Cricetulus griseus: one gene and its partners. The protein of the gene in region 3 purifies or fractionates together with the protein of the main gene of each other region. This does not show direct contact. Links are inferred from orthologs where the notes say so. Each region holds a gene or a part of one and is shown on either strand. Other genes may lie near its edges.

The links.
Region 1: the proteins of Ogt (region 3) and Dido1 purify together in Homo sapiens (affinity purification with mass spectrometry; 3 studies listed by BioGRID and IntAct, with this or other methods). This does not show direct contact. The link is inferred for Cricetulus griseus from reciprocal best matches to the Homo sapiens genes OGT and DIDO1.
Region 2: the proteins of Ogt (region 3) and Setd1a purify together in Homo sapiens (affinity purification with mass spectrometry; 4 studies listed by BioGRID and IntAct, with this or other methods). This does not show direct contact. The link is inferred for Cricetulus griseus from reciprocal best matches to the Homo sapiens genes OGT and SETD1A.

Annotation. Positions count from the first base shown.
Region 1 is NC_048599.1:1,273,071-1,277,281, reverse strand, and holds the end of Dido1 (death-inducer obliterator 1), read right to left. Parts: coding exon 1,599-4,211; 3' UTR 596-1,598; downstream 1-595. UniProt on the Homo sapiens protein: Putative transcription factor, weakly pro-apoptotic when overexpressed. Tumor suppressor. Required for early embryonic stem cell development.
Region 2 is NC_048596.1:72,994,092-72,998,219, forward strand, and holds the start of Setd1a (histone-lysine N-methyltransferase SETD1A), read right to left. Parts: upstream 2,822-4,128; 5' UTR 2,627-2,821; intron 2,348-2,626; exon of another isoform or gene 2,126-2,347; intron 2,114-2,125; exon of another isoform or gene 1,966-2,113; intron 1,782-1,965; exon of another isoform or gene 1,641-1,781; intron 1,313-1,640; 5' UTR 1,298-1,312; coding exon 1,148-1,297; intron 956-1,147; coding exon 860-955; intron 1-859. UniProt on the Homo sapiens protein: Histone methyltransferase that catalyzes methyl group transfer from S-adenosyl-L-methionine to the epsilon-amino group of 'Lys-4' of histone H3 (H3K4) via a non-processive mechanism.
Region 3 is NC_048604.1:68,602,484-68,604,954, forward strand, and holds part of Ogt (UDP-N-acetylglucosamine--peptide N-acetylglucosaminyltransferase 110 kDa subunit), read right to left. Parts: intron 2,291-2,471; coding exon 2,038-2,290; intron 1,786-2,037; coding exon 1,662-1,785; intron 530-1,661; coding exon 355-529; 3' UTR 1-354. UniProt on the Homo sapiens protein: Catalyzes the transfer of a single N-acetylglucosamine from UDP-GlcNAc to a serine or threonine residue in cytoplasmic and nuclear proteins resulting in their modification with a beta-linked N-acetylglucosamine (O-GlcNAc).

The DNA of each region.
Region 1 (4,211 bases), on a different chromosome or scaffold from region 3:
GTGACACTTGCAGGCTTCCTGCAAGCCCACACATATGCAATCAGGGTTCTATATAGGATGCTGGCCAGCACATTGCTCCTTGGGTCCTGACACCATACAGCAGGCAGCATCCAACACAGGCTGCTAGTTGGGAGTGGGAAGCTTGTGCCTGCACCTGTGACAACTGGGGGTCAAGGCTAAGTGAAGAGAGAGACAAGAACTCTGTAGATATTTATTCTACTTCAAGTAACAAAACCTATGAAGTCCTGTGTTTAAATGGACAGTGATATAACACTCTGCAATACAAAATACAATGTACAGAAATTTCTACCAAGTAAACCTAAAGAAACACACTTGATTTTTATGCTTGTGCATTTAAGTTAGAAAATTTTACTTTATATGTTAAAAAAAACTTCACATCTTTTTAGATGTTGAAACTGACACTTTCATGTAATTTAAACTACTGACATTTGGTTTGTAATAGCAAATATCCCAAATTGCTATTTTTTTCATGTCTTCTCAACTTAAAAAATTTGTGCTATAAAGTGAAAAAAAAATCTGTAGTGATGTACAATGAAATAAAAGACTCCAAAGAACAAACGAAGCTCTCTAATTCTCTATCTGAAAAAGTAAGTTTATGAAAATATAAAATGAACTATCAAACATATTTGCACAGTCAAATAAGTTAGCCAACCTTCTCACGGTATTTTCAGAGGGGCTACGTGGCAACAGCAGAGTAGCCTAAAGGCTACGAAGCAGTCTGTTTCACCCTCAGTCCTCTTCCAGATTTGGTACAAACATTGCCACATCTCACCGAGAAGCTTCCAAACCCATCACCTGTCTGGGGCCTGAGAGAGCCACTCAGAGGACAGCACCGGGCAATGCTTTTCTGAATGGCTCCTGCCTCTTCCCTCTTAAGCTACTCTGAACTCTTTTTGCTTCTTCTTTAGGCTGATAAATTTGAACATTTAAAAATAAATTGTTATTTAAAATGTAACAATTTCCACTGGGACGGATTATTTCTAATTATGTTTTGAAAAAACTTCTAAAGAATGCGTTGTGGGGAACCAGGCCTAGGAAGACCGTTCTCCCACTGCAAGCACACACCGCAGCTCACCCCCTCAACAGTGCTTTCCATCCAGGACAGCACTGAGAGCCCCCGGACAGGTCAGGATACACGGAAGCAGAGATGGCAGCACAGGGAAAGCTAGCTCTACGGTCCACTGAAATTCCCTTAAGACTTACACCAGTCAAGTTATTGGAAAAGATAACTTTATAATCTGAAAAAAAAAAAGCAATATGCTTTTGTAGATACTTTCCCATTTCTGTAATTTTAAATGGAAACATTAAGTTATTAAAAAAACATCAGAATTGTAAAGTTGGGAAATTTTGTAACAAACCATTATACACAAAATTACAGTAATTCCTGAAGTCCAGAATATTATATCCTGCATCTAAGTTCATAGCTATTTCAAAAACTCTTTGCTCAACACATTTTATGTACTTGGCTTTTAAAGGGGTCTTTGCCAGGCTAAGCCTCTATTAACAATAGCTGACACGAGGTCTTTGTCCTCACCAGCGTGTCTCTGTCTTGTCACCAGCCCTGAGTGCAATGGCCTCTAGGCCTGGGCTGTGGCGGGGCCCCCATCAGAGGTCCTAGCCTCAGACTTCAGATCCCGAGGGCTCTCTCTGCTCTTGCTACGGTCCTTCCGGTCCCGGCCTCGGTCCCGGTCCCGGTCCCGGGCTCTCTCACGGTCCCTGTCTCGGTCCCTGCTCCGGGACCTGTCTCGGTCTCGCCGCCTTTCCCGGTCACGGTCGCGATTCCTGCTTCTCTCCCGGTTTCGGTCCCAGTCCTTAGCCCGGTCGGCGTCTCTCTCCCTGTCCCTGTTGGAGCTCCTGTCTCTGCCTTTGTCCCACTCCCGGTGCCGGTCCCACTCCCGGCTCCTCTCCCAGTCTCTCTCCCGACTCCAGTTTCGGCCTCGCTCTCGCCTCCGATCCTCAAACGCCCGGCCCTGCCGATTCTCCAACCCTTGAGCTTCAGGCTCATCCAGAGGCTTCTCTTTAGGTCCTCCTTCAAACCGCTCCCTCTGTCTCCCTTCAAAAGCTGGGCTCCTATACTCATGCCCTTTGCCTTCTCGGAACTCAGGCGTGGCCCACTGCCCGTCAGCCTCGGGGCCCTGCCCAGACCCAGCACCGGAAGGCAGGGCAGTGGCCGGGCCTGCATCATCCCATCGGTCCTTCCTGTGCTGAGGAGGGTGGCTTGGTAGCTCCAGCAGGGGCCGAGGGGGAGGCTTTACGGGCTGGGAAGACTGGCCTTGGAAGTGAAATCGAGAAGGTGGCTGTTCATTTTTCTCAGCAAAGGGTGCGGGCCCCCGTGGTCCTCCATACGGCAGGGGTGCAGGTGCCCTCTGACCTGCAAACCGTGGCGGTGAGTTCACCCTCTGCTCTTCGAACTGCTGGGGCTGAACACCACGGGGGCCGGGCATGAAACCTGGTGCTTGGCCCCTGGGTCCTTCAAATTGGCCAGGGTGCGGGCCCCGGGGAGTCTCGAACTGACTAGGATGTGGCCCACGTGGGCCCACAAAATGGCCAGGTGGTGGTCCCCTTTGGCCTCCAAACTGAGATGGCGGAGGCCCTCCACGGGGCCCTTTCATCTGAGTCAGCAGGGGCCGTCTCTGGCCTCCAAATTGGAAGGGTGCCCTGTTCCCCATGAACTGGGCCTGGTCCGGTCCTTCACACTGAGCAGGGGCACCTGCCATCTCGTTGTATGGTGTATCCTGGAATTCCCTCTTCTCCCCATGTGGGTCTTTGCGTTCTTCAAACTGGGCTGGTGCTCCTCCTCTGGGCCCACCAAGGTAAGAAGGTGAGAGTCCCCTGTTGTCCCCATAGGGAGGTGGCCCATGTTGCCCAGAGAATAAGGAAGGGATTGGTGGCTTCTGGGCCCCAAATCGGGCAGGTGGAGGGCCCCTTGGTCCATCATTATTAGGAACAATACTCTCTTCTGAAAAGGGAGGGACTGGCCCCCTAGGTCCTGGGAAACCAGGGCCATGGTGTCCTGACATCCCAAAAGTGCGTGGCAAAGGTTCCCGCTGGGCAGGAAACTGCGGCTGAGGGCCCCCTCCCCTCTGCCCAGGCTGGGGGAATTGAGTAGTTCCCTCGCCAGTCCTGAGCTGTGGCTCCCTGCTGTCCTCAGTATCAGCCACTGGGCTGTCACTCCTCCCAGCAGACTGAGCACCCCGAGTGTCCTCGTATTGGGATGAGCCAAGAGATGTTTCCTGAGACAGAAACATAGGTCCTGGAAACGGCTCCCTGCCTCCGGAGGTGAAATTCTGTGCTTCAGGCTGCAAAGGGAAGCTGGGTGGAAAGGCGGTGCTAGGAGGCGTGGGCAGTAGCACTCTTCGGGGCGCTGTGGGCCTGGATGCACCATCACCAGCAGCAGGAAGGTGGCTGTTGTCCAGGGGCAAGGAGACAGGGTTACCAGGGTGCTCACACTTCTGCATATCATGTTCAGGCCTCAACACAGCGTTTTCACCCGGAGCCCAGGGAACAGCCTCTGACTCCTTGGCTTCAGGAGCTAGGGCAGGTCCCTGGACTGCTGCAGTCCCAGCAGCAGGCATCTCCCTGGCAGGGAGGGTGCCTTGTGGGCCAGGTGTGCTTCCTGTGGGAGCCCTGGGAAGAGGCTCACTCTCGGTGTTCTCAGCAGCCAGCCTCCTGGCCTGCCTCGGGTCCCTACTGTGTCTGGAGTCTAAGCTGTGGTTGGCACCCAGGGCTCCATGACTTGGGTCCTGGGCCTGCTGTTCCTGAGAGAACAGGTCTGTCTTGGCCAGGGAGGACTTGGGAGGTGGTGACATCAGTGCATCTGACACAGAGAAGTGTGCCATGGAAGCGCCAACTGCAGCCCTCTGCTGCCTAAGGGCTTCTTCCTGCTCCTCCAGCTGCCTCTTTTGCTCCTCGATCTGCTTATTTAGCTCTTCTAACATTTTCTGTTGCTCTACTAGAGAGGGATTAGTGGCATCGGTGGCAAAGTCAGCAGGCCTCTCCGTGGAGCTGACTTTCACACACATCCGATTGGGCAGGTCATCAATGGTCACTTTAGCTTCCTCTAAGATGGTCTCATCTTCTGGATCGTAGGCCACCTCTTCCCTCTCAGCTGTCTCAGGGACATTTTCCACGTCATGGCGCCTCCCTGGCTCAGCAAGCAGAGTATGGAAAGCTCGCTCAGGGTTGTACTC
Region 2 (4,128 bases), on a different chromosome or scaffold from region 3:
AACAACAAAAAACAAAGGAAAGAAAAGACACACTCAGAAACATAAAATGAGAACATAAAGTAAGAACAACAGTGCCAGAGACTAATGACAGCAAGATAGAAGCTAAAATTGAGGAGGGAGCCAGGAAAACCAAGTGAAATACATAAGACTCTGCATGAAGAAAACAGCAATGAAAGACAAAGATTATGACTATGGAAAGGAAATAACTACCAGGTGACTCGTAGGTTTCTAGCTCATGCACCTGAGTACCTGGTGTTGCTGTTTCAGTAAAGAAAAAAACGAAAAGGACCGAGAGAATAAGGATAATGTGTTTAAGTCTCTAGTGTCTGGGTAGGTGTTAGATGGAAATAGGTATGGGAAATAAACATTCAGAAAACAGAGCTTAAGTGAGACTGCTCAGGGAAAGTGAAAGAGGTGAAAGCACCCGATAAATTAAGAATCAATGAAAAAAACAAAATTGGAAGGAAACAAAGAACCACCAGCTTTCTAGGCTCAGTCCAAAGCTTGAAGAATATCCCATTAAATCCGGAAATGGAGCTGTTCTTACAAGCAAGTTGGAGCACATACCCAAATGACAGTGAGGAACCAAGGACACCAAGTGGGCAGTGGCCTTAGCAGTACCCCTAACTGCTGAATAACTAGGGCATCCCCCTATACCTCATCCCTCTACTAGAAACACCTCAGCTATGCAAGTGTACCTCCTGTCCCAAACATCTCAGCCTCACGGACTCAATAGCAATGATCTGGTCGTCAGTGATCCACTGGAATAGCCACTTTCGAAGACTATGAAAAGACCAGGGTGCTAGGATCCTTGACACTCTCCGAGAACCAACATGCTGGGAGACCAGCAGATAATTACCTTAAACTTCGGAACTGGGAGAGAAAAGTCTCTGTTTTTGGACCTGACATGGCAGCGGGGGTCTTGGAGGTCTTCCACTGGCGTATACTTTGAGTCCTAGTAAACAGAATGAGACCAGCATGAAAATCTACCAGGCTATTGACTCTATGAAGCCACATACAGAAGAGCTGGTGTAACTTGCTCATTCTCAGAAAACCAAGCTACAGGTACAGGAGGTCTAGTGTTGGATATTCAACAGGGGGATGGGGGGAGGACCAAGGAAGCCAAGAGGAGGTCTGGTGCACTCACACTGACACTGAAGTGGACTCCATCATAGCGGTACACCTTTTGAGAAGGCCTGCGCAGGGCAGGGTCCAGAGCAGGATCCACTATGAGCTTGTAGTTCCGCCACTGGAAGCTCGGGGCTTTCTGCCCATCTCCCCCACCTTCCTGGTCCATCCTTGCTCATTTACACTGTCAGGAAAAGAGGGATACGCAATGGGGGTCCAAGGCTTCGGCCTGACTCCGTTGCTGTCCCCTCAATGGCTTGCCCAGATTCCAGGTTCTCCTAACAGTCCGGTTTCCATACCTCAGCATGACCCACGGCTCCCTCAGATTCTGCCCTGAGGACCCAGGTTCACCGTAACACTCCATTCCTCTCCACCCCCAATTCTACCCTCAGGGCCCAGGGCCCATCTCGCGCCCCCTTACCTTCCCGCTCTCCCTAGCGCGCCCCACTTGGCCTCCACGCAAGACCCCTCCCCCGTCCCCTCGCAGGCCCCGCCCCCTCCCGCCTCCTCACCGGCCAGCGGCCCGGGCCAAGCCCCGCTCCCGCTCCCGCTCCCACACAGCCGCTCGCGTCCCCGCGCCCCGATCCTCTGGACCAGAGGTGGCACTTCTTCGGGGCGTTGGAAACACCGCGAGACCGAGCCTGAGACCCAGCTTCGGTCCCTGAATCCGGGCGGGCGGGCGAGCGGGCGAGCGAGCGGGCGGGCGCTGGGTGGGGGGGGGGCGGGTAACGCGCGCCGCTGCCCTCTCCTCCCGCCCGGGCGCGTTCGGTGCCCCCCCCACACACACCCCGGCTCCGCGCACTCACGCACGCACGCACGCGCCAGGGCCCTACTCACCCGCTCGTGGCGAGCGGCTCACCCTCCCCCACCGCGCGCAGCACCTCAGCGGCGTGAGGCGGCGGCGGCGGCGGCGCAGCGCGAGACCCGGCCCCGCAGCGGGGCGGCGGCGCCCCCCCACCACCACCTCCCCGGCGCGCGCACCAAACACCACCGCCACCTGCACGAGGCCCAGCGGGCGCCGCGTCTGCATTCGCACTTTCGCCGCGAGCGCTGCGGAGAGGTCCACGGGGCCGAGTGTGGCGGCCTTGCCTCGGGCGGCGCCCTGTAAGGCTCGGGAGTCGTAGCCCAGGGAGCCTGAAGATTGGCCGCATCCCCCGGAGAGTGGACTGCACCACCCTGATCCAGCTGCTCTGGCCTTGGGGTTCGTGACGAATCGGCGGCGACGAAAGCTGCGACGGGCCCCCTGAGGGAAGGGGGGCGGAGCGAGGGGGAGGAGGCCGGCCGGAGCTCGGGAGATTTGAGTGGTGCGTCGGGCGACGCAGATTCGCGAGGCGGGCGGGCGAGCGGGCGAGCGAGCGGGCGGGCGGGGCGAGAGAGTGGACAGGATGCGCGCTCCTTCGCTCCTCTTGCCTGCCCCTTCCTCGCGCAGCTCTAGCGCCTGTGAGGCTGCGCTGCAGATTCGCCACCGTGCTGGGCTCTGGCCGTCACCTCCGCTCACCTGCGGTGGAGTCGAGAAAAGGACGCCCGGGTAGCCGAGCCCCGTTGGCGGTGTCGGCCAGTACTCCTGGATGTTTGTTTCTAGCACAACTCAAGCAGCAGCCCACTTCCGACTCGGGGCGAAATGCTCACAGGGGGGAAAAGTCTCCTCAGAGTTTCATGACAAATCTCAGACAAGGGAAGCTGCCCAGATAACCCTAAGGAGTCGGGTAGCGAATCTGCGGATCCTGTTGTGGGCGGGGCCGACGCGCCGCGCAGAGAGGCGTGGCCAGGCGTGCGGAGCCCGGCGTAACGGGCTGCTTCCCGTAGAATCCACCAAAACCTGGGCGGGATGGGAGGTGGAAAAATACAAGCGGGAGCGGTGACTCAGGCGCTTTGCCGGCCCCGCGTACGTAACGAAGCGGTCGGTTTCCTCCCGCTGGTCCACTCGGGCCCCTGTTATTTCTCGGGCAGAGTAACATCGAACTGGCTCCGCACCGAACGATGACCTCGAGCTCCTGGTCTCTTTGCCCCTGTCTGCTGAGGGCTGGGGTTACAGGTGCGCCGCCGTAACCGGTGTATGGGCTGCTGGGCGTCTGACCCAGGGCTTCTTGCGTGCTGGGCGCCCTAGCTACACATCGCTTGGGCCTGTTTTAAAATGCCCGTTTCACCGACGGGGGATATTGAGCTGTGTCGGACAGACAGACCCAAGGGGCGCGTAACTAGATTTAAAGCTGTCTCAGGGTTCAGTCTGATAAGTTTGAGAGAGGCCTGAGGACCCTTGTGTCCTATGGAAGTAAAGGTCTGATAGTAACCCAGTAATCCACAGGCGGTTCCTAGGCTAGGGCTCCCTGTGCTCACTGGAGCCCAAAGCCAGGGTCTCACTTGGAAGCTTGCTTGGAGCTGAGACTGCGCCAAGGCTGAACACCCCTTTTCATCCAGTGAACAGTGGCATTCCCACCAGATGTGCTTCCGGAGCCAAGGATGCCCTCGGTGGCTCCTCCATAACAGTCCCTCACATTGACCTCCCTTAGTTTCAGGTCATCCCTCCAAGAATAGGTGGCTGTTGGTCACAAAAAAACTTGATGTAACCCTCACAACAGTGTAGGGAAAACTATTGGTGCCTACCTTTTCACGTTTTAATTGACCAAGTAATCAAATGAAGACTGTACAAGGTCTCTCACCACAAGACTGACAGGAATTGTGCTCTAAAATTATGAGGCTGAGGGAAAAAATATATATATATATATATATGAGAGATGTTCCTTTGTTTTGTCTCAGTAGAAGGCTGTGGTAATCACACAGACTGTGTGGCTGTGGGGCAAGAGCATCAGCCTTCCTGGCCTCAGCTGCCTGTCTGAAATGGAAATGATACTTGTTTATTGAGATGACTGTGAGGACTAAATGAGAGAACCTATGAATAGTCCTGTAGGATGAAGTGATCACTCAGGAAGAAACTTACATGAAATCCCAAGTGTAGAAACAAGAGTTTAGAGGCCACAACTGTTAACCACATTCAGATCA
Region 3 (2,471 bases):
GACTCGATCAATCCATGGAATCAGAAAATAGCTGGTCAATCTCTATCTCCCTCCACACACATTAAGCATCCCGTGGAAGACCAAGGGAGACCAGACCTTCCAGACCTCTGCACCATCTGCTTGCTATAAAACTCTACAGAGATTCCTTGTGAAATAGCAGTTTCTTATCTCTTGTCTCTCCCCATCATGCAGGAAGCAAGTCTGGCTGTGCTATTCTATTATCGCTATATATCACCCATCTGCAACACGGTACTGTACAGATACAGATAAGCACAAAGCATGTTATCTAGTTCCCTTTCCCCCAGAAGGTCGAGGCTCAGGTACAGGGGTAATTCTCCTGTGCGTGGTCTTTATTCAGGCTGACTCAGTGACTTCAACAGGCTTAATCATGTGGTCAGGTTTGTTGCCAGCTGCATAATGCTCCCACATCTGCAGATAGAGTCGCTCTAATTCCATTGTGTATTGTTTGGTGTTGAACAAAGGGCTAGATATTCTCTGTTTCCAAACTTTGCCACGAATTTTCTTCAGGCTAGGTAATAAAAACAAAGATAACCAATTTTACAAGTCAGAACAAAAACTCAGAACTAGACCCTATGAATACCTAGTCATTTTTGTGTGAGAATAATATAAAAAATAATAATTCTTAGAAGGGCAGTAGTGGTGCATGCCTTTAATCCCAGCACTTGGGAGACAGAGGCAGTCAGATCTTGTCTACAAAGCGAGTTCCAGGAGGGCTGAACCAAAAATAACACTTTTTTCTGATTGGCCTGTCAACACAAACATCTGGGAAGAGGGAACCTCAAGTGAGAAATTCCACCCACCAGACTGATCTATGGGCATGTCTGTAAGGCATTTTCTTGATTAATGTCAGAGGACCTAAGTCAATATGGGCGGTGTCACTCCTAGCAAGCAGGCTGAGCAATGTCACGGGGAGCAAGCCACCAAGTAGTGTTCCTCCATTTCTGTGCTCTAATTCTTGCTGCCAGGTTCTTGCCTTGGCATCTGTTCATGATGAACTGTGATATGAATACATAAGCCAGATAAACTCTTTCTTCTCCAAGTTGATTTTGGTTATGGAGTTTAACAAAGAAATATATTGAAAGTTGGCTGTCCATTGGTGCTCAACCAAACTGTATTCATATTAATATTAATGCTTCCTTTCAAATAACAAAACAAAAAAGAGCCTATGGACTATTTGTATATTTGGGTGTGTATGCATGTAAAGGCCAGAGGACTCACAGAGGTCGCCTGCCTCTGCCTCCCAAGTGCTGGGGTTAAAGGTGTGTGCTAATAATGTCCAGCAGGGAAAAAAATTAATGCATTAAACATAAAACAAAGAGACAAATTAGAAACACTATTTCATTGAATGAGTGAAGCTCCATTTACCTTAGCATGATCCCTCTAATTCCCACTCATTTTCAGGCAACTAAGTTTTTTTTAATGCTTTTTTGTTGGTGGTGGTGGTGCTTTTTAAAATCCTACTATGAAAAAGTGGAACATCTGATGCTTTTGAAAGTTCTTTATTAAAGTTTACTGATTACTTGAGAGTTTAGACCATGTCCCATGAAGAGAGCATACAACTTAATTCATCTATTTTATATTACTTATGGCTTTATTTTAGCCACATTCTCCATATAGTTTGCTTCTAGCAGTTTACTTACTATTCTAAATCAGTGCCCAATTTCACAGCTATGTCTTCATATTCTTGTCTGCTTTTAGCAATGAGCTCAAGACATCCTAGGCAAGTGAGCTGAGAGGCTGCAACCCGAGAGGCCAGAGTCTCTCCTAGAAGGTAAAGATAATAATGCACATCTTAGAACTGTAAGTCACACAGTCATCAATGTTAATTGCATTTAAGGATCCACACAGTACAGATGAGGAGGATGGTGCCAAGTATTCAAGCTTGAAAAAGTCCCATTTTCTATCATCCCACCTTAATTACTTCTAGTACACACCATTTCACCTTCAAGTACTCTTCTTGACCCAAACGAAAAATTAACGAATAAAGAATGATGCCATGATTTATCAGCCACTTACCTGGCATAGTCACCATGGGTGTTCCTGCCCAGAGAACATCCATCCCTGTAGTGTGCCCATTACATAAGGGAGTGTCCAGGCAGACATCAGCCAGCTGACCTCTCCTGACATGCTCCTCTTTAGGAGCCACGGGTGAAAAAATTATACGGTTCTGGGGAAGGCCCATATTTTGTGCATATTGTTGAATATTAGGTTCTCCTACTGCTGGAAAACGCAACAGCCAAAGCACGCTATTAGGTACACGTTTCAGAATCTTAAAAAAAAAAAAAAAAAAGAAAAAAAAAAGAAAAAAAAAAAGGAAAATGAGAAGATTAATAGTACTTCTGCCCTTTCCCAAAATCATTCTATTTCACTTTATTCTTTACATTGAGAAGCATACTTGAGATGTGGTGATGTAGCTCAGTTGGGATAGTTTGCCTAGCACAAAGTCCTAT